4 linked regions of the Callithrix jacchus genome follow. The protein of the gene in region 2 interacts with the protein of the main gene of each other region in a pairwise test. Links are inferred from orthologs where the notes say so. Each region holds a gene or a part of one and is shown on either strand. Other genes may lie near its edges. The genes, in order: IRAG1, PRKG1, LMO2 and FAM124A.

Region 1 (7,906 bases), on a different chromosome or scaffold from region 2:
CTGGGTGGGTCTTGGCGGTGCCTGAGGCTTCCTGACACGTGTTCAGAGCAGTCCTGCTGCTGCCAACAGTGCCCAGGAGCAGCTGCAGCTTTGCTTCCTAGAACTGCTTTGGTCACCCCTTCCTCCTACACACAGAATCTCTTCAACTTCCAGCTCTTCCTCCTCTGTAGCACCTATGGCCAGTTGTCAGCACTGGAGAGACCAAGCAAGTCTTGAGCAGGGGCCAAACCTCAAAGTAGAGGCTTACCTCTGACCATGTATGGCAGCCCGAGCATCTACTGTCCCCATAGCTCATGAGGGAGAAATAGTTTCCCACTGACACAGAACCCATGGGCTTCAGTGGTGGGTTTGCTCGACCAAATTGCTAGTGTTAGACACTCAGCAGAGGATAAGTGAACAGAGTGTGTTTGGGGTAATTTTGATCCTGGGGGAGAAAAACCACAAGGGTTTCTCTTGGAAAACCTGCGTTTTTCACCCACAACTGTGCTCTCTCCTTGGAATGCATGGGCATGAACTCCTTCATTGGTTTTGTAAACTTTTACTGACTACCTCTCTAGGTCAAGCCATGTGCCTGGCACTTCCGAAAAACATTCCAGGCCGGGCGCGGTGGCTCAAGCCTGTAATCCCAGCACTTTGGGAGGGCGAGGCAGGTGGATCACGAGGTCAAGAGATCAAGACCATCCTGGTCAACATGGTAAAACCCCATCTCTACTAAAAATGCAAAACATTAGCTGGGCGTGGTGGCGCGTGCCTGTAATCCCAGCTACTCAGGAGGCTGAGGCAGGAGAATTGCCTGAACCCAGGAGGCGGAGGTTGTGGCGAGCCGAGATCGTGCCATTGCACTCCAGCCTGGGTAACAAGAGCGAAACTCCGTCTCAAAAAATAAAAAAATAAAAAATAATTCCAATGCCCTGTGAGATGAGTGTCCCCCTCCCTCTTTCACAGATGAGAGGCTGAAGCTCCATGGTGACATGGAGAACAAATACAATCTTAGGCCTATGGAACGTTCTGTGGGATAAGAACCCAGTCAGGAGATCCTGCACTACATTTTTTCCTCATCAGTTTTGTCACACTGTCACATAAACAGGAAGGATGACTGAGGAGTGAGGGGAAATGGTACTGGCATGAGCTGCCTTGGGATTCAGTGGAGCTTCCCAGCTTTTTCCTGTTTTGTGGAACCACAGGAAGTGCATAATTATTGGAGGTGCTGCTCAAGCCCCCTCCCCTAGGAACTCAGGAAAGGATGCACTGCATCTGGCCTTTCCAGACTCAACTGTTCCTTTTTGTCCCCCAGATTCCAAGAAGGTCTAAAGAAGAACAAAGAACTTCAAGACCTGAAGGAGGAGGAGGAAGAACAGAAGGGTGAGAGTCCTGAGGAACCTGAAGAGGTAGAAGAAACTGAGGAAGAGGAAAAGGGCCCAAGAAGCAGGTGGGAAGCCTGTGTTTGGAGTCCTTGCTATTGCTGGAATGGGTTACAATTCACCTAATTTAAATGCACAAAATCCCTGGAAATGCCAGTCCAGGGCAGCAGTGAATCTGAGGCCTCAGTGAGTAGCCAAAGAAACCAAGAGGGCACTCATGTTGGGAGGGGAGTAGAGGAAATCCCAAAGAGCCGAGATCACTAGCAATCAGAAGTTTGCAAGAGCTTGAGAGGTCGGGGCAGTCATGGGGAGGGAAGATGACAATCAAGAGCTCCTGGAGCTAAGGATGGGCAAAGGGCCCTGAGTGGAGTCCCTCCCAGCCCAGGCATAGTTAGCTCATTTCCCAGATGAAATGATGGGTAGCCATCCCCATGAGAGGGCCAAGACCAAGGGAGCTGACTTAAAGCTCTGGAGTTGGTTTTTTACAAGAACAGGAACTGGGAGGACACGCAGAGCAGAGGGCAAACTCAGCTCAGTGACAAGGTGAGTCTCCAACAGGTGCCTACCATGCTGACCAATCAAGCTTGGTCATCCAGAGAGTGTCTTCACTTTAGGCTAGAAATATTTGGGGTTTTCTTTTAGAATACTTTCTATTTCAAAGGTACTTTCCCCTAAGTTGGGGGAGGAGAATAGAACATGTAGATAAAGAGAATATAGACCTATATCTTGTCCCACTTGTGGTTTCTGCCTGGCCTTTAGGATGCAGAATCGTAGAAATGATCTCATTTAGTTCCAGGGCACTTCATGCAATGAAATATTATGGGAATGAGGTCTCAGCCCCACCAGGCCTGAATATCCTCCAGAAGTACATGCTTAGGGATAGGATAAACTAGCACCCATAGAAGAGGAGTACTCTACCGCATAGATATAATGATCATGCCAACATTCTGGATTTTCAGGACAGCCCAATTTCATATATTTAACTATGTTGTCTCTATTAGTATATTTAAACCACAAGTCTTGGATTTTGATTATTTTAAATGTAGTTATAGCCACCTTAGAAAACCTTCACCAAAATCCTTGTTTTTTAGACCCCTGGGATATCTTGGGGTCCAGGGCAGTTCCAGACAAAATATCTAATCAGCTGCTGAAATATTATCTAATCAGTGTATATATCTGTGCCTCGTTGCTGGAGAACTCTGGAAACCACATAATTGCAACAAACAGGTAATGAAGTGAAGACTAGAATCAAAATGGATAGGCACATAGGAGCTACCAATACAGCCCAGTTAGTGGAGGATTCAACTAAAGTGAGAGGTCTCACTGAGAGAGGTCTCAGCCCATGCTGGTCAACCCCATTGTTCAAGGGAAGAGCTGTTAGGAGAACTGGAGAAATGCTTCTCCACTGAAAACAAGCCTGTGCTAGTACCCACTGCCTCCCCAATGAAAGAACCTCCAAGTTTAACAATTAAAGCACAATCCCTACTCCAGACAACCAGATCCTTTTCTTAGGCCTCACCACTGTCCTGAGGCTTCTCCGCTCAAATTTCTCAGGCCAACACATTGCCTTCCTCCCCTTGAATGCAGTCAAGTGAAGCCCTGGACAAAAAGCACTTCCTCTGGCACCCCTGAATACAGCTGAGACAGGCTAGAACTTCTAACACTTCCAAACACTGCGAAAGAACAAAAAATAAATAAACAGAGAGAGTACATGGAATATAAACAGTCTGGATTGCAAAGCAAGGGCCTCGATGCTTTATCTAGCTAATTCGATCTCAGGCAATTGCCAGCTCCCTCCCATTTCATGAAACCCAGGAGAAGTAAGGCTTAGCTTGGTCCCTTTCTGTCCAGCTCCTGGTCATCAGTGTGTGGCAATGGTACCTGTAACGTTTATCACGCACCATCTCTCAAACATGATTCTCGCCTGAAATATTGGTACCTCACTAACAAGCAAGGTTTGAAATTATTAAAAGTTCCATGTCCTACTTAGTGCATTTTTAAAACATTGGGTTCAGCCCAGCTGCTGACTACTTAAGAGATTCAACCTCACACATTAAAGTCTTTTTGTCTGAGTCACTTATCTGTTATATATAACAATTTATGTTACAAATATGGCTCTCTTGAGGATCAGTTTAAATAAACTTTGGGTGAACCCCAATATCTTAATTATATTAAAACAGAGAACACAGTCTTCTGACATTGAACAAGTGAGACTCATAGGGGCAAGCTAAAACTTTTGTCTTTTCTCCCAACGCCTTTTAAAACCTGCTCTGTGGGGTTAAGATGACATTTACCCCATTCTGTTTCCAATAACTCTCAGGAAACAGAAGTTTACTTATAACAACCAAAAATTGACTTCCAAAGAAATTCTATTTCTAATCTATTTCTAACCTCTTTTATAGGCTAGGCACCGGTGACCAGCTAAGGTCACACAGCCAGACCTTGGCCTCCTCCTTTGGAGCTGCACTTAAGAGTGGAGTTAGAGTAGGGAGAAGCCACTCTAGCAGCTTGTTTTAAAGGATGGAAATATAGCCCCAAAGGTTCCATTTTAGCATTCAACTCTATCTAAATAGAACCTAAAGAATCTAAAAAGGGCTGAAAGAAAATACACTTCCACTTCTAAACTCTCCCTTCCCAACAGTTGTGAAAATAGCCAGTGATTTTCAAATCAGCGAATGTGCTCACTTTTGTGCTTTTCTTAATTGTGATTGAAACGATCTGATGGGATTCCCGCGTGGAAGAGAAACCTGTCAATGTTCCCTGTGGCCTTAGCATCCAAGGAAGGCACTCTGAGCATCTGGACCATTTCTAAGGAGGGTATTTATTGAGTTTTTCAATCCATTGCAAGTCACACATTTTCTACTCGTTCTAAATTTGAGCTCTCTGCTTTTCAGCCAATGGCTTGGTCATTGGAGTGTGCGTGTGAGCCTCAGGATCTTCCGAAACCACTTCTATAATTTTCCCCACCTCCTTGGTTTAGGAATCCTCGGTATTCTCATTTTTCATATTTTTAAAATTACAGATTAAGAGCAGCAGAAAATCCTAGCTTATGAAGGGGTTCAGGGCTTCTTCAGAGAGCTCTAGAATGGACTTGCCAAAGGAGGCCATCTGCCCAATGTCTTTTCACTATGTCAGAGAGAGAGATGACAAATTGAAAGACAGTTGGGAAGGAAGCAAAAACAAAAAGGGGCAAAAATGGAGAGGAAGAGAGAGATGAAAGAAAGAAGAAAGGAGTATGGAGAGAGTGAAGGAAGAAAAAGGAAGAGAGAGAAATTAGATAATAAATATTAATGATGTTGAGATAACATCATCAACAAATCACCCAGAGATTGCTAGAGGCTGCTAGTCTTCTGCCTGCTCTTGGATGGTTTGAAGTGACCTCCTGAGGTTGATCTAGTCCCTTGTCATTTATCACAGAATATCAAGCTTCTTATGAGTTTAGCACAGTCCTTCCTCTCCGAACACAGTTAGATGTGGAACTGAGAACAATGAATTATGCATCTGAGGCAAGGGACAGGTTAGAGCTTGGAACTGATCACTAATACAGCTAAGTGCTAAAAAGATGCACAGTCCCGTGATGGTCTGGATGCATGAGAGTATGGATCAGCCAATCCTGTAGCCCTGGGCTTGGGAGAGTGTAGATATCAGTAATCACCCTGTGAATAGGTGAGGGCATGTGTGGATGGTTGATCAAACAAGTAAGTAGAATGATCTAGTCAAGTAGCTTTCAACATCAAGGCTGTAGACTGGTGGAATCAAAATCACCTGGGAAAATTTAGCCAATGATTCCTAGACCATAACTTTGTATATTCCTATTCAGTGTGCTTGGGGCATTTTGAACAATTGCTGCCAACCCAATCTAGGCACAGCTGAGTTTGAGAACTAGTGCTCAAGACAGCATGGAAGCTATCCCCAGAGAGAACTATGGGTCTGTGTATCATATGCGTGCCCAGTATACTAAAGCCTCTGCCTATTTTTTTCATTGACAGCAAACTTGAAGAATTGGTCCATTTCTTACAAGTCATGTATCCCAAACTGTGTCAGCACTGGCAAGTGATCTGGATGATGGCTGCAGTGATGCTGGTCTTGACTGTTGTCCTAGGGCTCTACAATTCCTATAACTCTTGTGCAGAGCAGGCTGATGGGCCCGTTGGACGATCCACTTGCTCAGCAGGCCAGAGGGACTCCTGGTGGAGCTCAGGACTCCAGCATGAGCAGCCTACAGAGCAGTAGGAAACCTCACACCTAGCCAGTGCCCTGCTCTGAGACACTCAGACTACCACCCTTTCCCCAAGTATAATGTCAGGCCCAGGTGTGGACATGCTGCCACCCATCCCATCAGGTCGTGAGGAAGGGTTTCTTTAACACTCGGCACTTCTGTGGGAGCTATTGATACACAGTGAGTTGCTATTCTTGGAGGATCAACGAAACTGCCCTGGGAAAGCATCCAGTGGATAAAGAAGTCACCTTCACCAAGGAACTCTATTGGAAGGGAAGGTCTCCTGCCCCTAGCTCAAATGGCTGGGGAGAACTAAAACATCTTCACTGGTGGTTGGGGGTAGGGAGCGGGGCACAGGGAAGAAGGAGGCAGGGGGCAGTAAAAAGCTTACTCTCTTTTTTCCTCTCTGTAATTGGTTATCAGGGAGAATTTGCTTAATGACTAATACCCTAAGGATCAGACCTGGAATTTGGAGTTGCAAAATGACTATCATTCCCATTTCCCATCTCATTTTCAATTTCTTCAGCCTCCCATCCTCTCCTTTGGAATGAGAGTTTCTTTTTACAGAAGTAGTAAAGGCTTCTTAGAAAAAAAAAAGTATAAGCTGAATTTAGCTCAGTGCTTGAAATGGGAAGATATGAATTATTATATATGCATCTGTCCACACACACAGTTGTGTATACACATACATACAACGTGCATGTGCACAGAGCCAACAACCCTTCAAAAGCGTGCTCTGGGTGTATGCCTCTGGATAAATAAGATGCATGCCAACCCAACCCACCCACAGATTTTTACTAGGCATGGGGCAGTCACCAGGCACCTGCTCAGTGAGCTGTCCACATGGATTGAAGATGTCTGAAAAACACTGAAAACTTATGGCTTCAATGGCAGACTTACTAGTCTGCATTTCAAATGCTGACTCTGAGCTGCTGTACAGCACCATCTATTCCCTATTATCTCTTTGAAAACAGTTAACCCACCTCACGGGCGAATGAGGAGAGAAGATGTGCTTTCTGCTTCAGTCTCTTATCGTGTGTGTGACCACATGCAAGGGTAAACTTGCATTTTAGTGCTTCAGTTCCAACAGGATTTCCAACCTAAGTATAATTGGGGATGTTTCAGAGCATCACCAGTTATTTAGCACAAAACTGAAGGAGCACTTCCCCTCTCCATTTTGACTTCTCTCCCCACTTTTATAGCCACTGCCTTCATTCAGCCCTCATCAGTTTTGTAGGGATGTTGATTTCCATGTGGGTTTTGTTGTCATTGTTTTGCATTTTTGTTTTGTTATTGATATTGTTTGCTTTCATTGCTAAAACTCATATACAACTTACTATGAGCCAAGTGCTGTTCTCAGTATTATGTAGGTGTTAATTCATTTACGTCCTGAAGAAAAAGAAAAAATATATGAAGTGGATACCACCCTTCCCATTTTCAAATAAGGAAGCTGAAGCACAAAAAGAACAAATAACTTGACAAGCGCACCCAGCTAGTAAATCATGGGGCTGGAACTCAACCCCAGGGTAGACTGGCCCCAGAGCTGTGCTGTCCTTGACTCTTCGATGGTCTCCTAGCTGGAAGCCTCACATTCCAGTCTCACTCCCCCAAGCGGCTCATCAGCTCCATCTCTGGCTCCCAAACTAAAGTTTCTCTCGTAGCTCTGGGCCTTCACTCACTGGTTTTTCGCCAGCTGTTCTTCCCTTTTCTTTAGGTCACTCTTCTTGACCAAGTACAAAAATTATCCCTCCACCAGCTTTGATGACCTTCCTTCCATACTCCTCACCAGACACAGCATAATAGGTCACACCTTCCTCTGTGTTTTCTGGCACTTTTTAAACATTTTTATTATTGACCTTTACCTATAATATATCACAGCCTATTTATGTATCTGTCTCCGCTAGCATTTTTCCTCAAAGACAAGAACCATGTCTTACCCATCTCTTGGGTAAGTGCTAGCATGGTGGCTGACGCTTGGGAGGGTGTAATTAAATGTTGGTTAAAAGAACAAGCAAACATTCAAGGTGGTGGAGAGCACCTGGGGACAGCTGACATACTACATGCTTCCCAGTACCAGCACCATCACCACATCACAATGCCAAAAGCAACATCTTTCTTAACCTCAGCTTATTCTGTTTCTCAGTCTCCTCTGTGAGAGAGCAGGAATGAGACCAGACTAGCAACACCATTTCCAAGCTCAAGGACTAGGCTCCATACAGTCAAACCTTCAGAGAGACCCCCCCCTCACCCCAAGCATGCCCCACTTTAAAACAGCATGTTTATTGAAGGGGCATCCTTTACAGTAGCTAGAAAATGACTGAGAGAG
Region 2 (8,001 bases):
GTTGTAGGCTTTGGCAATCTTAAAATAACACTAAAACCAGCAAAAATTAAGGTGGGAAGTGAAAGTAGGTACAACTACAGATATAGTTATTTCTCATTATTAATAATCAGTAATATTACATATATTCTGCAGTTAAAATGTGTCATTACAGAAGAGAAATTTCTAAATTCAGTCTGAATTTTTTTTTAATTTTAGAGAAATATTTTAGGAATTATTGGTTAAGGAGGATGTATTTGAAATTTAGCATTTCTTTCCATTTTACTCCTTAGTTTAAAGTAAACTTAAATTGAATATTTTTAATTTTAAAATATGCATAATATATTCTGTCTACAATCCACATAGAGAAATCTATGAAAATATGTTCATCAAACGTTGATTACTATGAATATTTTTTGGTGTTGAATGACTTTCTTCTAAATAATTTTGTTTTATATATTGAATGAATATTAGACTAACATGCATCACATAAAAACCACAAAAACCATCTTTAATAATTGATTTTAGTTGTCTAAGATAAGCAATTAAATATAAAAGCAAACATATAAATTAGAAAACATTACATTTATAACACAGAAACCCAAAGATGTGGGTCCTTCTCATTTTTTAAAGTAAAAATGAAAACTGGCATGTTAACTTAAGAGAATAAAGAGAATATTCAATCATAGGATCACATAAAGAGAAACTGTTTAAATTCTAAGACAATACTAAATAGATTTTCATGTTTATATATTTTTTAAGTGATGTAAAATTGATAGACAATTACTAGCTAATAACATATTAAAGTAAATAGAAAGCACTTTGCACAACAAATCAAGGCAGAATCCATCACAGCCCTTAGCACAGGTAAATCTGCTACTCCTTACTTTAAATAACTCATAAGCCTGCTTGATAAAAAGAAATCATTTGAACTGCTCTTAATAAACATGAACATGAAGGGCAAAAATATAATAATTCAGATTTCTCCCCCAAAGACACACAAAAACTGTATTAAAGAGAATAACTAATTTTCAAAGAAATCATTTGTCAAGGTGTACCATCATCTCCCTTCTAAACTGTGAGAAATATGAAGAAAAGACCTCACTTTAGTCATCTTTGTACTCACTGAAGTTGCCACAAACTACACTTCAAGGATGGATAGGTTAAAAAAAAATCAACAGATGTGCCTCATGAGGACTGAAGGGTTACATCCTTACCAACAAAGATAATGATTAGTGTTAAGTTATCTAATGAGGTCCTCTGTGCGGAGAGAAAATGATAGAAGGAGTACTATTCTACAGAAATATTAGATCAATAAATATTTACTGACCCCTTAGTATGTACGTGCTGTGAACACTACTCAACTCTGGGAATACCAGCAGAAAATAAACTATTCTGGAAGGGAAGACAGACATAACATAAATAACTACACAAATGAAAAGATAATTACAAAGTACAATAAGTGGCATAAGCGTGCTATGAAAGTGTAACAGGGACGAAAACTTTAAATTTGAGCATAAGATTAGATTGTTAGATTTTGTGGGTTGATAGAGGTTAATTGATTTTATTAGGTTGACCAGAGTAGGCCTTTTGGAGAAAACAACATAAAACTTACTTCACTGAGATTTGATAAAATGAGGCATTGGCCAGATATGTGGGGAGAACCTTTCAGGCCAGATAAATAACACCATGAGGTAGGAAAGCGCTGAGCATTTCAGTGGAACAGAGAGACACTGTTGTTTCTGGATCCAAGTGAGTGAGGGTGGTAATGGCATGAGGTGAGGGGGGGGGTAGTATCGTTGGTGTTCCTGTGGCCCCTCCTAATGACTTAGGACTTCATCTCAAGTATAATGAGTGAGTCAGTAAGTGTGGAAAAGGTCAGAGAGTGAAAGAAGCATCTTGAATGACCAAGGACAGCATGAGGGATTAGACTCCAGCAGTAAAAAGAAATCAGGGAACAGCAGATAAACTTGACCCATTTCTGGTTTTGCTAAGTGATTTACCTGGAAGGACTTCTACACTGTTTAGCTCTTAATCTACTTTCATTCCATTGTCACTATTAATGTAAGCCCCCAAATAAGAATTGATGTCATCGGTGGAGTTTATAGCAATTCAAGTGTTCTCATGTAGGAAATAAAAATAATAACTCTTGTCATGTCTCTCATTCTTGCAGCCCACCTTTCTCAGGCCCGGATCCTATGAAAACCTATAACATCATACTGAGGGGAATTGACATGATAGAATTTCCGAAGAAGATTGCCAAAAATGCTGCTAATTTAATTAAAAAACTATGCAGGTAAGTATCTCAACTACATTATCTTTGAAAAAAATCATAATGTGAAAAGATTAGATGTAATAAAACTATTATTTTATTTTTAGGGACAATCCATCAGAAAGATTAGGGAACTTGAAAAATGGAGTAAAAGACATTCAAAAGCACAAGTAAGTCTTCTTTCCTTATAACTTTAGGTTTCAGAGTTCCAAACACCTGACATCATTTTGCCAGGGTGTTACTTTTTAAGTTATTGGTGTAAAAACTAGTACAATTAGCATATAGGAACATCCAAAGACAGAATATAAACTTATTAGGCTTTTCCTTTCTAGTTGTTTCTGAAACTTAATTTTATTTACCTGACAACGCTGTGACATAAGAAACTGAATTCATTGAACTCAGTTTCTTGCAACTCATACCAACTAGCATTGTTTTTTCCTCTCTGGCACAAAGAAGAAATGTGTATTTTAAATTTGGAGATTCTATTCTCTACCACAGTATTACAAACAAAAGTCCCCTACTGTTATTGTACCTGATTTCCTAAACACAAAATATATTTTTCTAAGCATTTCCCAACTAGATGTCATAACAGCAGAATACAGTGTTTTTTAACCAATAGCAACATCTTAAATATCAGACCTTTCCTATATTGACTGGATGCTCTAAAGTTAAACTACTTGGTTTTTCTCTATTTGTGTAACACTGACAGAAAATTCACATCCTTATCAAAGAAACATGTTTACTAAAATATCTATGAATATCTGAAAGGCCTGCTAAGAATTTCTTGTAAGCATTTGCTAATGGTGAAACCTTTCAAAGACAAAAGAAAACAAACAGGCAAAAACATTAGTGTTTTTTGGTCTGTATTTCACAGAAAAAACTGTACACAAAATACCTTTATTCTTCATTTAAAAAGGGAAGAAAGGAGGAAAATGGAACATGTAGAGACCACTACAATGATGTGAAATGAAAAGGTTAACTAGCTGAGGCTGTGCACTGAGTCAGTGGCAAAAATGGAAAGTTCATTTTCTATCCTGACTTTTCGTGCCCTTGTTCTATCTCCTTAAAATAAAATACCCTGTAAAGCACAGGGCCAGACATATTATGACATTTATTAAATTATAATTATAGTATAGGAACAAGGTCATTAGAGACATTATGACTGAATTACAAGGAAAAATAGTTTCATGTTTAACTGGTATTTAAAATTGGACAGATATACTTTAAAAGTATGCATTTCACAAAATAAGCTAATTGGAAAAGATATGCAATTAAATAGAAAACATTTTGTCTCATGAAAACGTTTGCCTAACTGCTTTCCATTAGCCATGGACATTGTATACATTGCAATTAGAAGATTTTAGCTGACATATAACATCTTTAACTATCAACATTTTTTCCTTTTCTAGATGGTTTGAGGGCTTTAATTGGGAAGGCTTAAGAAAAGGTACCTTGACACCTCCTATAATACCAAGTGTAAGTAGATTTTACAGCTTATAATTGTATGAGACGCTTGGTGGTGTTTATGTCAGTCAACAATGATCTGTTATCTTTAAAGTTTCATCCTGTTATAAGGTTAAACAAACTATAGGAAAAATGTCACATTGAAATAATGACATTCTAAAATCCAAGCTTAAAAGCAGATACATTTGGGGATAGTCACTGTAAATATGTTTTGCTCTTATTTTTTTTAACTCTTCATTTTAATTCAAATTTCCTTCATTTATGAACATGTTAATTTTTAGTATCGAAAATGTTTAAAATCTAAAAACTGAGACAAAAGTTTATAGTGAGTTTACAGCAACCAGTTTCAGCAGCTATCAGTTTTGGACCAATGTTGTTTCATGTATGTCTTCACATAACTCCCTCCTGCCCTCCCCATGTTACATGGAAGCATACTCAGGCACAATGGTGTGTTTTTATCCTTCCTTCAGGTTCTAAAGTAAAAAAGTAGTTCTTTTTTCTTGACTCTCTTTTTTTAAAAAAAATCAAGTTTTTTGTTAAATAGTCTACTAAATTCACTGTTTATACTATATTAATTTAAAATAGATTTCAGCAGATTGCATTTATATTTTTACTCAGTATTGCATCTAGCTAATAAAATGTGCAGCATCTTTATTACGGGGGAGAGGACTACTTTGTGGTCCTGGGACTTTCATTTGTGTTTCCTCTCTCTAGGACTATTGCAAGACTGCTATTTGCACAGAAACATTTTCTCTATTCCATTTTTCTTTTGAGATTGGGTCTTGCTATGTTGCCCAGGATCCAGGATAGCCTCAAACTCCTGGGTTCAAGCAATTCTCTTGACTCAGCCTCCTGAGTAGCTGGGACCACAGGTGCACACCATGAACTTGGCTCTATTTTCCCTTCTTCTAAGATTTATTTCTATTCTAATATTTGTTTGTTTATAGACCAAAAAAAAGCATTACAGACAGGGTTTCAATGTGTTGGCCAGGCTCATCTCGAACTCCTGACCTCAGGTGGTCTCCCTGCCTTGTCCTCCCAAGTGTTGAGATTATAGGCATGAACCACTGCACCTGTCCTACATGATCACTTGTATACTTTCATGGCATCTCTTTTTCTTTTCATAGCTCTAGCCAAAGTTTATTATATAGAAAGATTTTTGTAATTATTTTTCATTGTATATAGATTTTTGAATTATATATAGATTTTGTGATTATTTGTTTTAATCATACAATGTATTACTTACCATGGGTATAAACTCTGTGAGGATAAAAACCATGTCTATTTGTACTCACCACTGAGACCCTCAATACCTGCTACATAGTAAGCACTCAAAAAAGTAGTCACTAATAGGGAATAAATACAGGATGTGCTTAAAAATTCCAGCAATTCCACACACACACACACAAAGTGCATTCTCTCCTATTTACAGGTTGCATCACCCACAGACACAAGCAATTTTGACAGTTTCCCTGAGGACAACGATGAACCACCACCTGATGACAACTCAGGATGGGACATAGACTTCTAATGTATTTCTCTTACCTGCTTCTGCCTTGCTGAAGACAGCTTTTTCTGAGACACAGCTGCCAGCAAACCTGAAGGAAAGAGAGAAGATTAGTGCTCGGGGTCACCATGATGCCTTTGATCGATGCTGCTCCGGTAACTACAGTGGCATTAGGACTTTTGCTTAGATGACAATAGTGCTCTTTACATGTTTTCTGTTCGAACCTAAAATAGCAGTTGACATGGTGGTCCTGAAGCAAAGCCTTTCACCAGTAAAGAGATGTTTTCTATTGTTGCAATGACCTTGCTTTGCTCTGATTATAATTTGAAAGACTGTAGGAAACACTTCAATCTAGTAGAAGAGTCTGTACCTTGGTAGAATATTCAAGAAGATGAAAGAATAATATATTGGGTACGATAGATTACTATGGTACAGAAACTAGGCTATTCCCTTTCTTCAAGTGAAGGCTGTGGGATCTATTACTGCAGGCCGGTGTATATACCATTCAAAAGAGGACCACACATCTGTTGGTCACAGAGCTCATGTCACACTAGTGCTAGAAGTTTCATGATTTTATTTCCCAGCAGTGCTGATGACAAGACTGAATGTTACCCTTTCTTTCTGACAGAATTTAAAAATTGATATGATAAAAGCACAACTGCTATAGATTCTGCTGAGACCTCTCATAGTAGGTACATATGCGTTTTCACAGAGGACTGAAAAACAATGCATGATATTTGGGTTTTTTTTTTTTTTTTTGATAAATTGGCATGACAGAGTGGGGAAAAAAAGCAGTTCACAAAACCATTTCATATTTTTAAAAATACTGTGCTTAAAAATGGTCCTGGAAGTAAATGACTAGCAGCCAATTGGTTTTACCTAACATACCCTCAAACTGAGGCTTAAAGTATTCCCTTTTATAAAAATAACCCCTCGGGGTGGGGTGGACAGGGGAGGGATTAAAACCCATCCAAAAAATAAATAAAAGCTATATAGGTGCTATGTATATCTTTCATCTGTAAATGTCAGTGTCTGAACAGACAACACAAATTCAAATCATTATATGTGTAGCCAGAAACTCAAGCATTTTCACTGAAGTTATTAAACCAAACTCCTGTCCAATTTCACTCATACAACATTGTCAGTCTGGAGTTGAGAGACAACGGTGATTATAAACCTATTTGAACTAGCTTTTTGTCTTAGGCCTGAACCAAAAACAAACAAACAAAAAATTAAAAAAAAATAAAACAAGAAGGAAAAACAAAAATAAAAGAAGTAGGAAAGACAAAAAAAGAAAGCCCAAAGTCAAAGTTATTAAGATTTACAGCTTTACCAAGCCAGGAACGTCACTTCTGTGAGGTCAGAGAACAAAACAAAAACCTGGCCAGGTGCTGATTACCTTTTTGTGAATAGGCTGAGTCCACCCACTTCTCCAAGTAAGAAAGCAGTACAGAGGAAAACAGGAACCTGATTTTTAAAAAAATAAATTTTAAGTAGGACAGAATTACTACAGTTCTATGATTTCACACTACCTAGAACAAACTAGATTTGAAAATGTCAAACTAATTTACTTTATTCACGTGGAGAAAAGAATCTGCAAATTAAACTGAGTCCATCCCTGGCAGGCCGGTTGATTATTATTAGCTTTAATAAGTAACTCAGCCATTTGGAAGCTCTTCCTGGACAAAACTGCATTATACCTATGAGGAAAAATATAAAACATTTAAAGCTGTCATTCTGTTTTGGCACAGTGTGTGAATTTGGTATATTAAATTGAGGCTTGCTCTTTTCTCAGTAGAGGTTTCTTTTTAATCAATCAAATGTCAACACTTCTGCAAGAATAAGTCCAATTAGATCACTATACCTTAACTAAGAGGGCATATATTATAAATTTTGTTTGATTTTTCAAACCCAAAACTACCTTAGAATATGATATCTTATGAAAATATAATATTCTTAAAAATGTGGAGGATAAAATGAAAAGGGAATAAACTTCAATTAAAACTTCAATCCTAAAATGTTATTGTTATTCTTGTTTTTCTGGAGTTTTCCCTCCCTTATAATTTCTCCAAATTAGTCTATTTCCCAAGATATCCACTGTTTTCTACATATTTTAGAATATAAAACTAAATATAACCTAAAATCCAGCAATGTATGTTATTACAGTTTTATATTTTTTTAATTGGCCTTTTTGACATACATAATTCCAACATTATAGTCAATGTTCAGTAATTTTTGTTGAAAGATAATGTGGCTTAGGCATGCTAAAGACTTGCTAGGATATTGAATTTACCTTGTTATTTGGAAAGACTCTGCTTCTGCAACTTTTCAAAAATCCCCAAAGTCCCAAAGATTAGCACTTATTGTGGATTTTGGAACTATGGTTCAAGTCTAAGACAACCAATATAAATAAGTTCAGTGGAGAAGGAAGAAGTAGCATTCAGCACAATGTAACTGTAGACTGTTTTCCCACTTGTTACTGCATCTTTGTTCATTTCACCCATAGCATTGCATTAGGTGTCTGAAGCAATCACCACAAAACAAAGGTAAACTACATTTTCCACAATGTACCAACAGAAAACATTCATCTGATTTTCAGCATTGAATTTTTAGGATATAAATCTTGTCTTAATGAAGACTCTAGGGCTAAAATTCATGGTCAGTTCCATAAAGTGCATCTCCCTTTATTTCTGAATTTTTCATAACCCCTCTATTTTCTTACACTAAAGAACATCTGGATAAGTTAGAATAGTGCCAACTTGTTTGATTTGTTAAATGATTT
Region 3 (8,001 bases), on a different chromosome or scaffold from region 2:
GTGTAGGTTAATTCTTCTGGGGAGCAGAGTCTCAGTTTTTAGCATAGTCTCAAAAGGGTTTGGGGTCAGGTAACCAGGGCTCTAATGAGCATTGGCCGCATCTGTTTTCTGAGCCTCGTACCAGTTTGGAGTATTTCTCTATCCCTAACCCATTCTTTAGTGTTAACATGGGGAGCAGGGGGTGTTTAAGATATCATTTTCCTGTCAACGCAAATGCCATTTTAAGAGTCATTAGCTGTCTGGTTTTGAGAATTTTTATTCCTTTGAAGTCCCCATCTAATCCTTTGAAGGGATTTGTTACACAAGACCAAAGGAGCTGGTTAATGACTTGTCCATTTGTGCTTTTAAGAGACATTTGTTTTGTTTTGTCTTTTCCTGCTTTAAAAGAATTGTGCTTTCCTGCTTGAAATACCGCACGCACACACACATACACACGCACGCACACACATACACCCCCTTCAATTTCGGCTATGGTGTTTATTTACCTGGGTTTTACCCTCCGTTACCAGCATAAAAGCTCAGCATGTTCTCATAAAACGCAGGAAGTACCACCATCCAATGAGAATATAAACATCACTATTCAGTCTTGAAGGTTAATACACCAGTTCTATAATGAGCTAGGTTTGTTGTAGCAAAAACCCCCACTTCCTTCAACAAATTCTCAGAAGAAAAATAACATTCCTTTTTAAAAGTATGTTTATGCAAACAATGGGTTTAAAGGGTGGTTTGATCACGTTTTTAAATAAACTTAACAATTACAACCGAGCTCTGAGTTTCAGAGACTGGGCAAGATCACACAATAAGGAAGTGACTTGGATGAATTGGTGCCTAATGCCTTTTTGATCAGTAGAATTTTGTCACTAATCCTTTCAATAGAAGATAAATCTGAAGGTTTCAGTTCCCTGAAGGAAGTTTGCTTCTTTCAAAGTTTGTGCTTTCTCACTGAGGATATAAAACTGAAACATCCTAACTTCCTAACAGGCAGGTATCGACTGCTGGAGGCTCACCAGCTCTTTCCTTCACTTCACTATTTGCCCAATGAAGACAGGTTCTAATCAAAAAGGCACAAGCTGGTTGAGAAATTGCTGCAGTGCATTCTCCCCACCCCCTTAGAAATTGTTATGAAATTATCCCAGAAATCCGGGCTGAAGTGATATTCAGGTATAATATTCAAGATAGGCTCTGGGAGAATATAAAATATTAATTTGAGGGTGAATCAATCTCATTCAGTCATTGTCTTGGATTGTCCACTAAGTATAATGTGATATTATCATTAATTAATTATAGAAAGACAGAGCCAATATCTTACACTTTACTTCTCCATCTCATCTCAGGCCGTCACCATAACTCATTTACTTTACGTTCCTCCTGTGGTCCAGTATCCTACTAGATTCTTCATTGTGTACTTCCTCAAAGCCAACTTGGGTTATTACAGTCAGCATCTCCAAATTACAGATGGAGACTTGCCTAGCTATATGCAAATGAAACATTTGGACAGAAAGCCAGCCAGAATTCATGAACACAGAGATTCCCTTGCTATGCCATTGCTGGCCCCCGCTGCCTCCCGTGAGTACCAAGAGCAGTTCATTTGAATTCCAGGCAGTTTTGCACCAGCTAAGGGCAAATTCTCCTCTTTCACAGTCCTTTGGCAGCATCCAATGTAGTCAAGGTTCCATGAGTGGTTTGGAAAGCCCAGAGTAAGACCATGGGCTGTGGAAAGAGAAGAGATGCAATTCCCAGTTGATACACGTGAAAAAGCCAGGGTATTAGTTATTAGAAGGGAGAATGGTAGTCCTTATATACAATCTGTAGAAACAAGGGAAAGAAAGCAAGCCTTCAGTGAATTCTTAAAACTACAGTCACCAGGCGCGGTGGCTCACGCCTGTAATCCCAGCACTTTGGGAGGCCGAGGCGGGTGGATCACGAGGTCAAGAGATCAAGACCATCCTGGTCAACATGGTGAAACCCCGTCTCTACTAAAAATACAAAAAAATTAACTGGGCATGGTGGCGCATGCCTGTAATCCCAGCTACTTAGGAGGCTGAGACAGGAGAATTGCCTGAGCCCAGGAGGCGGAGGTTGCAGTGAGCTGAGATCATGCCATTGCACTCCAGCCTGGGTAACAAGAGCGAAACTCTGTCTCAAAAATAAATAAATAAATAAGTAAATAAATAAATGCAGTCCTGATTTTTTTTTGAGCTAAGGTCTCACTGTATTGTCTTGCCTAGAATGCAGTGCTCACTGTAGCCTCATCCTTCTGGGTTCAGGTGATCCTCCCACCTCAGCCTCCTGGGAGGCTGGGATTACAGGCTCATGCCACCAAGCTTGGGCAATTCTTTATGTTTTTTGTAGAGTCAGGGTTTTGCCATGTTGCCCAGGCTGGCCTCAAACTGCTGGGCTCAAGTGATCCTCCTGCCTTGGCCTCCCAAAGTGCTGGGATTACAAGTGTGAGCCTCTGTGCCTGGCCATTTTTTTCCCCCCAGATAAACTAGCTTGAACTTTACATTTACTTGTTCTAAAGATGATAATCTCATGAAGTCCAGTTACACTGTATCTACAAAGTGTGGACATGGCTTTGGTACTCCTAAATATTCATAGGGAGTACTTCATACTTTGCATGACAGAATCACCTCAAGTTGTCAGAGTATTATAGACATTGAGCCACCTGAGTCTCCTGTCTCCAAATATAATGGCTGCTGGGCTTTTTGGATACAGACTAATTAGGACACAAGGTCACCTGGTAAGTTAGTGCCAGTTAGAAATAGGAGACACAGGCCGGGCCCTGTGGCTCACACCTGTAATCTCAGCATTTTGGGAGGCCAAGGCGGTTGGATCACAAGGTCAAGAGTTTGACACCAGTCTGGACAACATAGCGAAACCTCATCTCTACTAAAAATACAAAAATTAGCTGGCTGTGGTGGCAGGCACCTGTAATTTCAGCTACTCAGGAGGTTGAGGCAGGAGAATCTCTTGAACCCCAGGAGTGGAGGCTGCAGTAAGCTGAGATCCTGCCACTGCACTCCAGCCTGAGCAACAAGAGCGAAACTCAAAGAAAGAAAGAAAAAAAGAAAGAGAGAGAGAAAGGAAGGAAGGAAGGAAGGGAGGAAGGGAGAAAGGGAGGGAGACACAGATTTATACCTGCAGTGTATCCAGGAAGAAAGTCCTTTACAGTTGGAAGAAAGTCCATTTTTTTGAAACATAATAGATTTTTAAGAAACAGATTTGTGTTTAAGTAAGGTTCCAGAGAACATTTGCTAATTATTACAAATAAGTAAGTATTAAGTGTTTCCCATGTCCCATTTGGGGGACACTAGAATCATTCCTTCCATTCCTTCATTTTCTTTTGGCAAAGTTATTGACTTTTAAATGTAAAAGAGTATTGAGATTCCAGTGAAGCCAAGTAGGCAGGAGATACTATGCATGGCATGTTAACGAAAAACACACGCCACAGCCTACTAACGACTGCTGGTTTGAGATGTCACTGTCTGTTTAAATGCGTTCTATTCTCTGAAATAATCATTGCCCCCTCTTCATTTTCTTCCTTAAATCAACTTCATCCAAATCAGTTTTACTAATATAAAAATGTTCAGGTGAGGAAGGACAGGCCTATTTGATGTTCTTCATAAATATAACAACGGCCTTACAGTCTGGGGTTTTCCTCCAAGAATTCCTTCAGTAGAAAGAATCGAAAATGGAATATCTGTAAAAAATAAAATAAAATTAGGAGAATTCCTATTATATTCTGAAGGAATTTTTAATTTGGCAAGAGAAAGCAACCTAAAATAATTTTTGGTCTCATTCTTCTTCCTCACCTCTGCTTTTGAGCGGTTGGAAGGGCTGGAGGGGCATGGAAATGTATTAAATGGGGTTTGCAGATTCTTAGCACTCTGGGTCATCGGCTGCCCTGGTGGTGAGTGACTCTTTGAGTCCAGAGTGCCTCCTCTGAGGTTAGGCAGTGCCCTTGGGTCCAGGATATAGGAGGAGAAAACCAAGGGAGCTCTGTGAAGATAGAGAGGGAAGGTCAGCGGGGAGAGTGAGAAAGAGCAGAAGGAGACCAGAGGTGCCCAGGTGGTGCTGGGCATGGGCTGGGGCACAGTGCCACCTGCAGTTGCCTTTCATGCCTCTTGGTGCCCTGTGGTTACTTCTTAGAGATCTAGGGCATAAGGTCTAGCTCTCTCCTGTCTTACCCCGGGTGGGCTGGGTCTCTGCAGTCAGTCTGGCCAATGGATATATTGTACCGTCCCTTCTCCCTTAGGTCACCAACAGGCAGTCAGATGAGGTGCCCTGTCTGGCCCAAACTAATCTCGGCCCCTCGGTGCTGGTCTCCCTCTGGTGAGGTTGTCCCTGATGCTTGGCCTTCTCTCCAGGGAACCAGTGGATGAGGTGCTGCAGATCCCCCCGTCCCTGCTGACATGCGGCGGCTGCCAGCAGAACATTGGGGACCGCTACTTCCTGAAAGCCATCGACCAGTACTGGCATGAGGACTGCCTGAGCTGCGACCTCTGTGGCTGCCGGCTGGGCGAGGTGGGGCGGCGCCTCTACTACAAACTGGGCCGGAAGCTCTGCCGGAGAGACTATCTCAGGTACCCTCCCTGGCACCCCTCTGCAGCCCTTGGGGGGGAGGCTGGGTGGTCATGGACATCTGCAGTCTGTGCATGTTGCCCTGACCCTGCTCCAGGCTCAGACACCACCTATACAGTGAGGTCAGGCTGCAGAGGCTGTCTTAGCTCCCGTGCTGAGAAGCAGTGAGCATTTCTTCCTGTTTGAGAATCATGTTCTCAGGGTTATGTTCCTATGTGGTAAAATACTAATATCTTTAAAGGCAAGAGAATTGTACACACAAAATTTGGAAGTGTGGTTCCCTCAGGGAGTGGAAGAGGCCAGGGGATAGGGCTGAGGAGGAGTATGCACAGAGGATCCTAGGCACTGGGGGTGTTTCTAAGGTTGGAGTTGGGCTCTGAGGGGCTCATTTGAATGCTTCAGAACACACACACACACACGCGACAAATATTCTTTTGTATGACTGCAGTATTACATGATGAGAAATTTAAAAATAGAAGCATATGGAGCCCCAAGCATTGACTCATAGCAGGAAGGCAGTCTTCAAAGGGCATAAGGGCAAAGGCCCTGCAGTCAGTTGGAAGTTCGAGCCCCAACACCGTTGCTTCCCAGCTTGGTGGCCTTGGGCAAGTGACTTAACCTCCCTAAGCCTCAATTTCCTCATCTGTAAGCTGGGGATGATAGGACCACCTAGCTCTGCAGACATAGGGAGGATTTGATGAAATAGTGCAGATAAACGGCTTGGCTTGGTATGGATCAAATAGGTGTTAGCTGCTCTTATAACTTATCCTTGTGACATAATCATTATTTTCAAATCTAATGAGCAAAGGGATGGAAGAATGGAAGGGTAAAATAGGAATTTGACAATGTCAAGTAAGACAGGAGCTGAGGGCCAGGGGCAGTGGCTCATGCCTGTAATCTCAGCACTTTGGGAGGCCAAGGTGGGTGGATCATGAGGTCAGGAGATTGAGTCCATCATGGCTAACATGGTGAAACCCCATCTCTACTAAAAATACAAAAAGTTAGCCAGGTGTGGTGGCACGCACCTGTAATCCCAGCTACTCAGGAGGCTAAAGCAGGAGAATCACTTGAACCTGGGAGGCGGAGGTTGCGGTGAGCCGAGATTGCACTACTGCACTCCAGCATGGGCCACAGAGCAAGACTCTGTCTCAAAAAAAAAAAGACAGGAGCTGAGGACATCTCCCATGCTCTGGGCCATCCTATTGGCCATCCGAATTGTCCAGCACTCTGTGAATGCCTTTGCCTAGAATGTATTAGCATTTCTAGTTTCCTATGAGCTGCAGTGAAGGTAACTCTCTGTGCCCGCTACTGTCAGATCTGCTCAGCTGTGTAGCTGTCAGTATGTCTCCGTCTTCCTGGAGCAGAGGCTGTGTGAAGCATGCTTCCCTGACACATCAGGACCATCCAACCCATGGAAGCTTGTTGAGATCTTAGCGCCCTTGGCTACTGGGCCAGCTTTTCCTCCCAAACCTGCCCTCGGAGCATTTTACGTCACAGAAACAGAAACCAAACCAAACCAAAAAACTGCAGGTAGTTTCACAGTGAAGGAAGCTTATTCATTTACCTGAAGACTGATGGAATAAGCTTTTCCCCTTCTCGAATTCCCAGATAAAGTCCTTGTAGATATGGTGGTTCCAAGAAAATAAGTAGGGTTTTTCAATGATCATATTTATAATTGTGGTCAGTTTCCTTTGTTTTTAAGTCACAAAGAATAGAACTGGGATAAATAGAAACCTGGTTTTGCTCACTCCCAGTTTGCCAAGTCAGTGAGGAGGCAGACGAGGCGGATAAATGATTCCCATCGGACCCTTGACTCCATCCCTGTCAAATCATTTGAATCTTATTAAATGAAGTGCAGATAGAGTAAGGTCAGAGGAGCCCGGCTTCTCCCTATCTCTACCGTTTTATATAACACTCAAGAATAAAACCAGTGCTGCCTGGGCTTGTTAATCCTTTCTATTTTCAAAAAGGAGAGGAAAAAAAAAAACAGCCTGGAAGAACCCAATGTTAATTAACTTTTGTCTTGGTGACATGAAATAATTCTTCTCCTGCCATATTCCTAGACAACATGTTAATTAACTCTGTGTTAGTGCGGGCATTTCCAGCCATCCTTTAATATTTATATTATTGTTATTAAAATGGGCAGCAGAGAGCTTAAAATGGGACACCTCTTGACCGAGGAGAAAAATTGTCTTTTGCTTCAGAGATGGTCCTTTAGCCATGGTCTTGTTTACTTGGATTCTTAGTATATCTGGCAGGAGCTAATTTATTTTATTTTCTTTTGAGACGGAGTTTCGCTCTTGTTGCCCAGGCTGGAGTGCAATGGCGTAATCTCGGCTCACCGCAACCTCTGCCTCCCGGGTTTAAGTGATTCTCCTACCACAGTCTTCCTAGTAGCTGGGATTACAGGCACCTGCCACCACATCCAGCTAATCTTTTTGTATTTTTAGTAGAGATGGGATTTCTCCATGTTGATCAGACTGGTCTCGAACTCCCGACCTCAGGTGATCCGGCAGGAGCTTTTAACAAGGCAAGTTGGAAGAGTGGCTGAACAGACCCTCTTCTGGGGTTGAGTTCTTCACCCCAGGATAATTTGTCCCCTTGAGGATTTCCAGTGGCTGAGTTGCATGTTACAGTTCTTTTCAGACATCAACTTCAAATATTCATGAGGCCCCTGTGCAGAACCTCAACTCTGCCACCGTATTCTATTGTTGGGAACCGCAGAGCAGCTGTTCATGTCTGTGCTGAGCCAGATCTCCTTGGATCCCTTTTCACCAGTTTGTATGCTGGGAGAGGTGGGCTGGTGGTGATGGCAGTGGTTTTACTTCTAACAGCCAGCACCTGCATCTGTTAGAGCTAGAAGTGTGCCTGCCCCGACTAGACCCCCAGCAGACCTTAACCAATGACAAACGTGGTGGGAGTACCAAGCCCTGCAGCCTTGCCTGAAGCCAGGCATAACTTATATTCCAGGGTCCCTCCCCTCCGAGGGACTTTGCCTGAAGTTGCAACTTGGCCTGGCTTCATTCCCTTTCCTCCAGCCTCCCCTGCTGCCTTCTAGGTTTTTCCTGAGAATGCATCATTCATAAAGCACTTGCACATAAATCCTTGCCTTGGGGGCTGCTTCTGGGATATCCAGCCTAAGATACCAATTCTTGGTGCCGGAAGTTAATGCTCAAGTTAGGCGTTGAGTCCTGGTTGATTTTTTACTCATATTAGAATCTCAGCCTCCCAGAGCTGGAAGGGGCTGCAGGGGGCTACTCTTTCAGTTCCCTTGCTTTACAGCTTAAGTCACAGAAGCCTGTCCAGGGGATGCCATTTGCTCAGGTCACCTGGCCAGTTAGAGGTGATGCTCAGACCTGAACTTGTCTCCCACATACTCATCCTTTGTCCTTCCCTTCATTAGCTGCCCTATGTGGATTG
Region 4 (8,630 bases), on a different chromosome or scaffold from region 2:
GACCCAGGCTTCAATTCATGCCTCTAACAAACCATGTGCCCTCCAAGTCTCCACTTCCTCATCTGTAAAATATAATTATTAGAATACCGAGGCATGCCCTGTAGTCTCTCAGATGTTCTAAATGATCTAATTAAAGTATTTAAAAGCAACAGCATCTATTGTGATGAGCTTAAAGAACATATGCTCTTGAGTTTACCATTTTTATTATACAAAACTCTAAGTTTATCAATTGGAGTGTTCTTCATAACAATAATATGGTGAGACATAATCATGTACTGAGGGTTCTAGACACTGAACAGGCACAGTTCTAGGGGCTTTAAATATATAGGCTCATTTAATCCTCACACCAACCCTAGGAGGTAGGTACTACTATCATCATTCCCATTGTACAGAGGAGGAAACTGAGAGCAGAGAGAGGTTAAGTCACTGGATCAAGGTTTCATGGTCCCTAAGTGGAGGAGCAAGAATTTGAATGCCAGAGGGCTGGCTCTTGTGACTGTAACTTTCAAAGGGACCAGCCCGGCCTGCCCACCGGCAGTGGGACTCACGAAGTTTCTCGGAACTGTTTCTTCCTTCATGCTGCTGAACGGATGGATAATCAGCTTAAGCAATACCCTGAAAGCCCTTGTTTCGATGTTTTGTTCACACACCCTTCCCCCAAACTCTGATAAACCTAACTACCCACCATCTCTCTCTGCCTGACCCTAGGTGTTGAGCATTGCTGCAGGAAAATAAATAACAAAGGGAACTTGTACCTCTGTAAATACATAATTGCAAATCTCAGCTGGGCACCCATTCAACATTGCCCCAAACAACTATTTGAATCTCCATTCTCCTCAGATGGTGAAGGGCTGTATTTACACCAAATAGAAACCCCATCTTGTCTGCCCTTCTAATTGCAGGAGGGGATGTCCTGCCTCCTACCTAAAGCCATCCATTCCCCTTTGTGAAGTCCACTTTTTCAGAATACTGACACTACAGGGCCAGAAGCAGTGGCTCACATCTGTCATCCTAGTACTTTGGGAGGCCAAGGTGGAAGGATTGCTTGAGGCCAGGAGTTTAAAACAGTTTCTGAAAAACATAGCAGGACCTTGTGTTTATAAAAATTAAAAAAAAAATTAGCTGGGCATGGTGTCGGTGGCTCAGGTCTGTAATCCCAGCTACTCAGGAGGCTGAGGCAGGAGGATCACTTGAGTCCTGGAGTTTGAGGTTGCAGTGAGCCATGATTGCACCAATGCACTCCAGCCTGGGTGACAGAGAGACCCTGTCTGGTTAACAAGCCAGCCAGCCAGCCAGCCAACACTACAGCTTATCATCTTTACTCCTCCTTTCCCTTTCTATAGAATCCCTTCTATCACACTGATTGCTCAATTAGTGCATGTGTTTAGGAAATCTTTCCTCACCCCACTCTCCCCTTTAGCTACTGCCTATTTTTGCCTCTTTTTTTCCAAACAAAGGAATATCTGTCTTCTCTTCACCTTCTACTGCCTTCTAGAGCCACTCTAATCTGACTCCTGCCTCCACCACCCTACTATCAAATATCACTCTTCCTTCACTTCATCATCTCCATTAAAATACACTTCATGTTCCTCATCTTCGTTAGTTTCTCAGTAGCATAGCTGATCTCTCCTTCCTTTCTCAAAAACTCGGACCTCCCTTGGCTTCAGTGATTTATATATTCTTCTTTCTTTGACTCCATGTCTACTCTTTCTTAGGCTCCTTTATCAGCTCATTATCATTGACTGGCCATTTAAATGTTGTAGTTTCTCAAGGCTGGTCTTAAAGAGCACCTGCTGCACAGAGTTGTTGCAGGATTTGAGAGGTCCATATATAAAGGCTTAGAACAGTAGGCGACAGAGTAAATGCTAAGCACGTGCTTGCTATTAACTTCAGTTGATTTAATCTCTCCCAGGGCTTCCATTGCCATTTTTAGGTAGTTTCCAAATGCAATGTCATATAGACCTCCCTTCTGAGTTCCAGACAGATATATCGAACTGCTGACTCATCATCTTTACTTGGATGTCTCACAACACTTCAGACACACACAGTGTGCTGAAAATGAAATGTCTCATATCTTGCCAAACTTGGTTTGGAAGAGATCACCAGCTACTTTGAGAATCTGATAAAAAAAAATTAGTTGTCTTCTCATACAAATTCACAGGCACATCATTTTGCATACAACTTGAAGCAATTCATGGACCCCAAATTAAGGATCACTGCCTTAGCAGATGTGTCACTTGAGCTGAGTCTTGAAAGAAGAGTAGAGTTTCACCTGGCAGACAGGCATGCCAGGTGGAAAGGGCAGAGCTGGCAAAGAGGGCAGCTTGACAAAGGCAAGGCTATAGAAAAACTTGTTGGATGTGGCTAGATACAAGGCGCAAAGAAGGACCTGCTGAGAAACAAGGCCAGGGAGGGAAGAAGGGACTCCGTATCAGGAGTTGGGATATACATGTTAAATTCCTTGCATTTGTAGATGACAGAGCCATAAAAGTTTGAAAAGGAGAGAGACATGAGCAGATGTACATTTTAAAAAATGATAGGCCAAGTGAGGTGGCTCACACCAGTTTGAGACCAGTCTGACCAAATGGAGAAACCCCATCTCTATTAAAAATCCAAAATTAGCCGGGCATGGTGGTGCTTGCCTGTAACCCCAGCTACTCAGGAGGCTGAGGCAGGAGAATCACTTGAACCCAGGAGGCAGACATTGTGGTGAGCCGAGATCATGCCATTGCACTCCAGCCTGGCCAACAAGAGCAAAACTCCGTCTCAAAAAAAAAAAACAAAAACACAACAAACAATAACTAACGACGGCAAACACTTATTGAGTGCATTCTATGTGCTTTCTACACAATCTCTGTGAAAGCTGGATAGGTAAAGGATGCAGGGCAAGCTCCAGAAAAGAAAACGATGAACAGCTTTCTGATAATTGAAATTCAAGGGCCCTATGAATAGATGGCAAATAAGACTAATAAGCATATATTGAAACGATTTTATTTAAATGCATGCTATTTTTCCTTTAAAGATGGTAGTGATACAATAAGAATTCTTTAAACAATTCTGTCCTGCTACAACTACACATTTTAGTGACAGAGACTGAGAACAGAAGCTCTGGTGTCAGCAGGGCTGGTGAGCCCCTCCCAGGAGGCCTGGCAGCTGTCATGCTGATGTCCAGATCCTGGGGCCACGTCACCCCCTGAGTCAGGACTTCCTCTCCCTTCTCTAAGACAGAGCCCTTGAAAAAGATATCAGTTTTAGGTGAGCTCTGCAAATTGAAAATGAGCAGACTAATGAACGCTTTAACACAGCTACAAATGAGCTGGTTAATTTTGCTTTGTTTCTTCTATTCATGGTCCAGCTAACTAGTGGCAGGAAGAAAAAGCCAAGAATCTTCAATTAAAGTTGATAAATGCCACTTACACAAAGTGTGGGAAGAAGCAAGGGAGTTTAGCATTTAGCATCAGGTTACTCCACCAGATTATAATTGGGTGCTGTAGAGAACTATGGATGAGCTTGGATAACAGAGAAAGCCCATTTCTGGGTGAATGCCCTAGAGAGTAAAGTCCCACATTTGGGCTAGGAGTGGTGGGGCAGGAGGGGCTGTATGGGGAGCTTCCCAGGGGTTGGGTTAGAACTCTGGATTGATCGTGGGCCTGGATTCTCTACCTGCCCTCACAGGGTTGCCAAATCCTGAGATTAGTCTAAAACCTCTCCGACCTTCCAGGAATGAGGCTTTCTGTAGTCTGGGCAGCTCCTGCCCTCCCCCAGGATTACTCCAAATAGGAAAAGACACCCTTTCCTCCGGGGTCAGGACCCGCGGCCTGGATGTGGTGCTGACTCTGCACCGGAAAGTCCTCTAGAGATAGGGGCTGCCTGGAAGCCTTTCTAACGACATTCATCTCCTAAAAGGCATTTGTCTTTTGTTCAGCTCAGGAAAACAGTGTTGTTGAGAGAGAACTAATTCGTCTCCAAAGGTTTGAGTTCATTGTTTGAGTCCGCTGAATCGAAGAGAATATTAAAAAAAAAAAATCGGTGCCAAATCCTAACACCATCTCCATCCCGCCGGTACCACAGGCCAGCGGTTCGGGCTGGGACAGGTGCACTTAGAGGTGAGGAAGTTCGGCGGGACTGGAGCAGTCGAGGAGGGGGACTCGGCAGCACAGATTAAAGTCCCACGATAAAGCCATAAAACGAGAAATGCCATCCTCCTAGCCGACTTCGGAAAGACTTTTAGGTGCGGGTGTCCTACCTTGCTTTTCCTCCTCTCCCCATCTCCAGGGCCCGACTCCAGGGGGCTCCGGAGCTACAGGAGGAAAGTCCCCGAGGTGGGGAGGAAACAAGTGCAAGAGCATTTCCTGACCCTATTGATGCTGAAAAGGGGTCGTTGCATCCACCAGGCGCTCCGCATCGCCTCACGGGATGGCTGGGCTTGCCCCTGAACCTTGAGTCTCCTCACTTTCCTCCCCTAAGGTGGGGCCCGCCCCGCCCCGCTCCACTCGGGGCAGCCAGGGATCGCTCGGCCAGTCCAGGAGGGAACGGGGGAATCCCACAGGAGGGGAAGCCCCACATGCCATCCCGCCGCGGGGATCTAGAGGGTCCTCGGCTGGGGAGGAGCCGCCGTGTAACTCGGAGAGCGCCCCCCGCTCGCGGCCCGGCCCCGCGCGGCTCACCCTCCAGTCTCCGCGCCCGAGTCCACGCAGTCGTCCTCCTCGCCGCCGCCGCCCGCCTTCGGGTCCATGATGCCCGTCCCGGCCGCGCTCGGGTCGCGAGCGCCGTAGTGACCCGGGGCGCGCTCCCTCCCGGCCGCCCAGCACTAGCCGGCCGGGTTCCCTCCGAGCGTCTAGCTGCCGGGGAGCCAGCAAACAACTCGAAAGACAGCCGCGAACCCCGCGCCGCGCCCTCTCCCGGCAGCGCCTGGCGGGGCACCCGCGGCCGCGCCCGCCCCGCCCCTCGCCGCCCGGCGGGACCCGCGGGTGCGCGCGAGCGGTGTGCGGGTGCGCGCGAGCGGTGTGCGAGCGCGGGGAGGGGGATAGCGTGTGCGCGTGAGTGGCCGAGGTGTGTGATGTCGCGTGCATCTGTGGATGTGGTCCGATGTGCACTCACGCTTCCACGCGCCTGTGGCTGTGCTGACCGCGTGTGTGTTGTGGGGGGCGGGGTGATTGTGCACACGAGAGCCTCTTCTCTGGCCCAGTCCCACAGTCCAGGAATCCCTAGCCCCAGGGCTTGCCCCGAGGTTCCCCAGCTCCTGATCTGGGAGGAGCATTGAGAAAATCAACCCCAGGCATCGTGAAAGCTGGAACGATTTGTTTCCTTTTTGGGACCACTTTGAACACCTGGGCGTTTTCTTACAGTTTCTGAAGAATTGCCGACACCAAATTCATTATCACCTTTCTCAGCACAGGACTGAGTGGCATCCCACCACCCTACTTGCCGGTTTACAGTAGGTGTCATGCGTTCTTTTGCTACTTAAAAAAAAAAAAAAAAATGCCTTTAAAAATAATCTAAAGAGCATTGAATGAACTTGCAATTCACGGATTGCTGCAGCAAGGGGATAACCTCAGGGTCAGTTAATGATCGTGATTGGAAGGGCTCACCTCCTATTAGGAGGGTAAAGAGGGAGGCAAGTTGCAGGGGTGGCAGGAGGAGAATCTGAACAACTTGAATTTAGTTCTGACAGCCCTGTCCAAGCCATTGGGAGGAACTGTCCTTACTGAGCCTAAAATTCCTTGCACCCCAAACGACAATGGGCATATTTGTGCTCATTAGCTGAAAGAAAGAAGCGTGCCAGTTCTTCAGGGGAGATTTCTCTGCCCATCCACTGATTTCTAAAAGAAAATTCTCAAGTGGGGAGAGGAACATCGTGAGTGATATATTGCACAATGCCATTAATGATCCATTTTTAATGTACTGATTCATTCAGTAACTAAATGCCAAACGGGAGGGTGAACTCTGCATATACAAATGAGAGAAAACAGCAACAGGTGCGATCCTTGCCTTCATGGCTCTTACATTCCAGAGGAGAGAGAATTAAACAATTCTGTGCATATGTGTGTGTATATATTTATTATTATTATATGTGTATAATAAAATGGAGACAAACCACCATGGAGGAAAAGAATATGTGCCCAAGAAAGAAAGAACATAATTCAAATTGTGAGAGAGCAGGGAAAGCTCTCTTAGGAAGGGATACATGAGCCCTCTTCTGCCTCAGGGCCTTTGCACTTCCTGTTCCTTCTTTCTGGGATATTTTCTCCCAGATTTTCTGCAAGACTCCCTCCACATTTCCTTCTGTTCTCGGTTCAAATGGCCCCTCATCAGGGAGGCCTCCCTGGCTAATCCTACATCACAGTATCCTCTTACTCGACTCTATTTCTTTTCTTTTCTTTCTTTCTTTCTTTTTTTTTTTCGACACAGAGTTTTGCTCTGTCACCCAGGCCGGAGTGCAGTGGTGTGATCTTCGCTCACTGCAACCTCCACCTCCCAGGTTCAAACAATCCTCCTGCCTCAGCCTCCTGAGTAGCTGGGATTAAAGGCACACACAACCATGCCCAGCTAATTTTTGTGTTTTTAGTAGAGACAGCGTTTCATCATGTTGGCCAGGTTGATCTCAAACTCCTGACCTCATGATCTACCTGCCTCAGCCTCCCAAAGGGCTGGGATTATAGGCATGAGCCACCATGTGAGGCCTATCCCAATTCTATTTCTTAGCACTCTACCAGGAGCTGGCAGATGATAGATTTATTTACTAGTCACCTGCTCTTTCCTTCCCACCCCTACCCCTAATGTCAGATTCATCAGAGCAGAGACAGAGTGCTTTTTGTTCTTGCTGTGTCCCTAACACCTGGAATGGCCCCTGGAGCAATGGGCGTGTGTTGAGTGAGTGACAGGGAAGCAGCCCTAGTGCAAGTTAAGGGGTGAAGAGGTGCTCCAGGAGGAGAGAGGGTGAGGCAGGTGTGAGGCAGGATGGGGCCCTGAGCATTTAGAGGGGAAGTGATGGCAAGTTGGGTGACTAGAGCTATGTAAAATTGCAAAGACGGTAACAAGATGTTTGACCGAAGTGTCACCTCTGGAAAGTCACCAGTAGGCCATTATAGTGTATTTGGAAAATAGATAAAGACTGTCAATGAATCCAAACTAAAAGGAGTAATACAAATGGCCAAGTAGGTAAGCAAAATAAACATTCCACCATTTTTTATCCTACAGCCATGAGGGAACCTGTGTGTGGGAACAATTCAAACTGTACCTCATTTGATCCTCAGGGAAGTGCTGTGAAGTAGAGTTATTTTCTATTTTACAGTCAAGGAAACTAAACCCTACTGAGTTCAAGTGCCTTGTCCCAGGACACACTATCAGTGAGTAGGAAAGCCAGGTAGTCCACTTAAGGTGGCTGGAGTCTGTGTCACTTACCTAGAAGGCTGACTAATGGGCCATTTGAATCCTCAGGAAGATGGTACTAAGAAAAAGGTCAGGAAGAAAGGAGGAAATCAGCATGACTTTTAGAAGATGAGCTTTGGAAAATGAGTTGCTATTTACTGATTTCTGCCTTTCTCAAATATCCAGAGAAAGGGCAGGCCAGACCAAAACCCCGAGCCACATCTCAAAATGATGCATTGATTCAGGTTCCCTTCGCCCACAGGCGACACAAGTGTTATCATTCATCAGTGGCGTAGCTGTCTAATGGCAACTCAGTGATGCATTTATTATATGGAAGAGAAACTTAAACAGTATCACTGTATTCTAGTGATGCATGGGGCTTCTGCTTCAGTTTCCCAGGGTTTTATAGTCTCACTTCATTGTTTGCTTGTTTTGAGACAGGGTCTTGCTCTGTTGTCCAGGCTAGAGTGCAGTAGTGCCATCATAGCTCACTGCGGCCTCGACCTCCCTGATACAAGTGATCCTCCCGGTTCAGCCTCCTGAGTAGCTGGGGCTACAGGCATGCCCCCGCCCAGCTAATTTTTATTTTTATTTTTGTAGAGAATAATATATTTCCCAAGCTGATATCAAACTCCTGACATCAAGTGATCCTCCTGCTTTGGCCTCTCAAAGTGCTGGGATTATAGGCATGAACCATTTCCCCGGGCCCATTTTTTTTGCAGGGGAGGGGTATAAGAGTTGTTGGCAGGGAACCAGCACAAGAACCTTGAAGTCATCACTGCAGGGTATCTAGCCCCTAAACTTGCGTGGTTCCCACACTCCATATTCCAGCTCTTTAATGTCAGTCTCTAATTGTGGGGGTACAAGGCCCACCACCCCTTTAAGACGGGGACAGAGGAGTGTCACTGCTCTGCTTAGGGTATCTTGACTGCTGCCCTAAAGATATTCCTATCAAAGCCTGAGGGCAGTGTTGGGGGAATACTGAGGTATGGCGGGAAGTATAACAGGCCAGGAAGCCTGAAACCTGACTTCTGGATCGCAGTCGATCATGTACTAGCTGTTTAAACTCTCGATAGAAGAAAAGGGGACACCATCACCTGTTTCTAAAATTCTTACTACATGTCAGGCATTGAGGTAAGGATTTTACTACATGATTTATTTAATTCTCACAAAAATCTTGTGAGGTTTCCTTTGTCCTTAAAATGAGGTCGTTGATATAAATCTCACAGGAGACTCAGAGCCCCTTAGAAACTATGAAG

Evidence for each region.
Region 1: the proteins of PRKG1 (region 2) and IRAG1 interact in a two-hybrid assay, tested with the Homo sapiens proteins (2 studies listed by BioGRID). The link is inferred for Callithrix jacchus from reciprocal best matches to the Homo sapiens genes PRKG1 and IRAG1.
Region 3: the proteins of PRKG1 (region 2) and LMO2 interact in binary tests that used the Homo sapiens proteins (3 or more experiments, as listed by UniProt). The two-hybrid records come from large-scale screens. The link is inferred for Callithrix jacchus from reciprocal best matches to the Homo sapiens genes PRKG1 and LMO2.
Region 4: the proteins of PRKG1 (region 2) and FAM124A interact in binary tests that used the Homo sapiens proteins (3 or more experiments, as listed by UniProt). The two-hybrid records come from large-scale screens. The link is inferred for Callithrix jacchus from reciprocal best matches to the Homo sapiens genes PRKG1 and FAM124A.

What each region holds. Positions count from the first base shown.
Region 1 is NC_133511.1:76,422,206-76,430,111, reverse strand, and holds part of IRAG1 (inositol 1,4,5-triphosphate receptor associated 1), read left to right. Parts: intron 1-1,294; coding exon 1,295-1,429; intron 1,430-5,350; coding exon 5,351-5,594; 3' UTR 5,595-7,906.
Region 2 is NC_133513.1:77,906,143-77,914,143, reverse strand, and holds part of PRKG1 (cGMP-dependent protein kinase 1), read left to right. Parts: intron 1-2,149; coding exon 2,150-2,272; intron 2,273-2,355; coding exon 2,356-2,418; intron 2,419-3,657; coding exon 3,658-3,724; intron 3,725-5,144; coding exon 5,145-5,243; 3' UTR 5,244-8,001. UniProt on the Homo sapiens protein: Serine/threonine protein kinase that acts as a key mediator of the nitric oxide (NO)/cGMP signaling pathway. GMP binding activates PRKG1, which phosphorylates serines and threonines on many cellular proteins.
Region 3 is NC_133511.1:99,236,749-99,244,749, reverse strand, and holds part of LMO2 (rhombotin-2), read left to right. Parts: intron 1-4,367; coding exon 4,368-4,583; intron 4,584-8,001. UniProt on the Homo sapiens protein: Acts with TAL1/SCL to regulate red blood cell development. Also acts with LDB1 to maintain erythroid precursors in an immature state.
Region 4 is NC_133502.1:64,724,337-64,732,966, forward strand, and holds the start of FAM124A (protein FAM124A), read right to left. Parts: upstream 4,874-8,630; 5' UTR 4,736-4,873; coding exon 4,668-4,735; intron 1-4,667.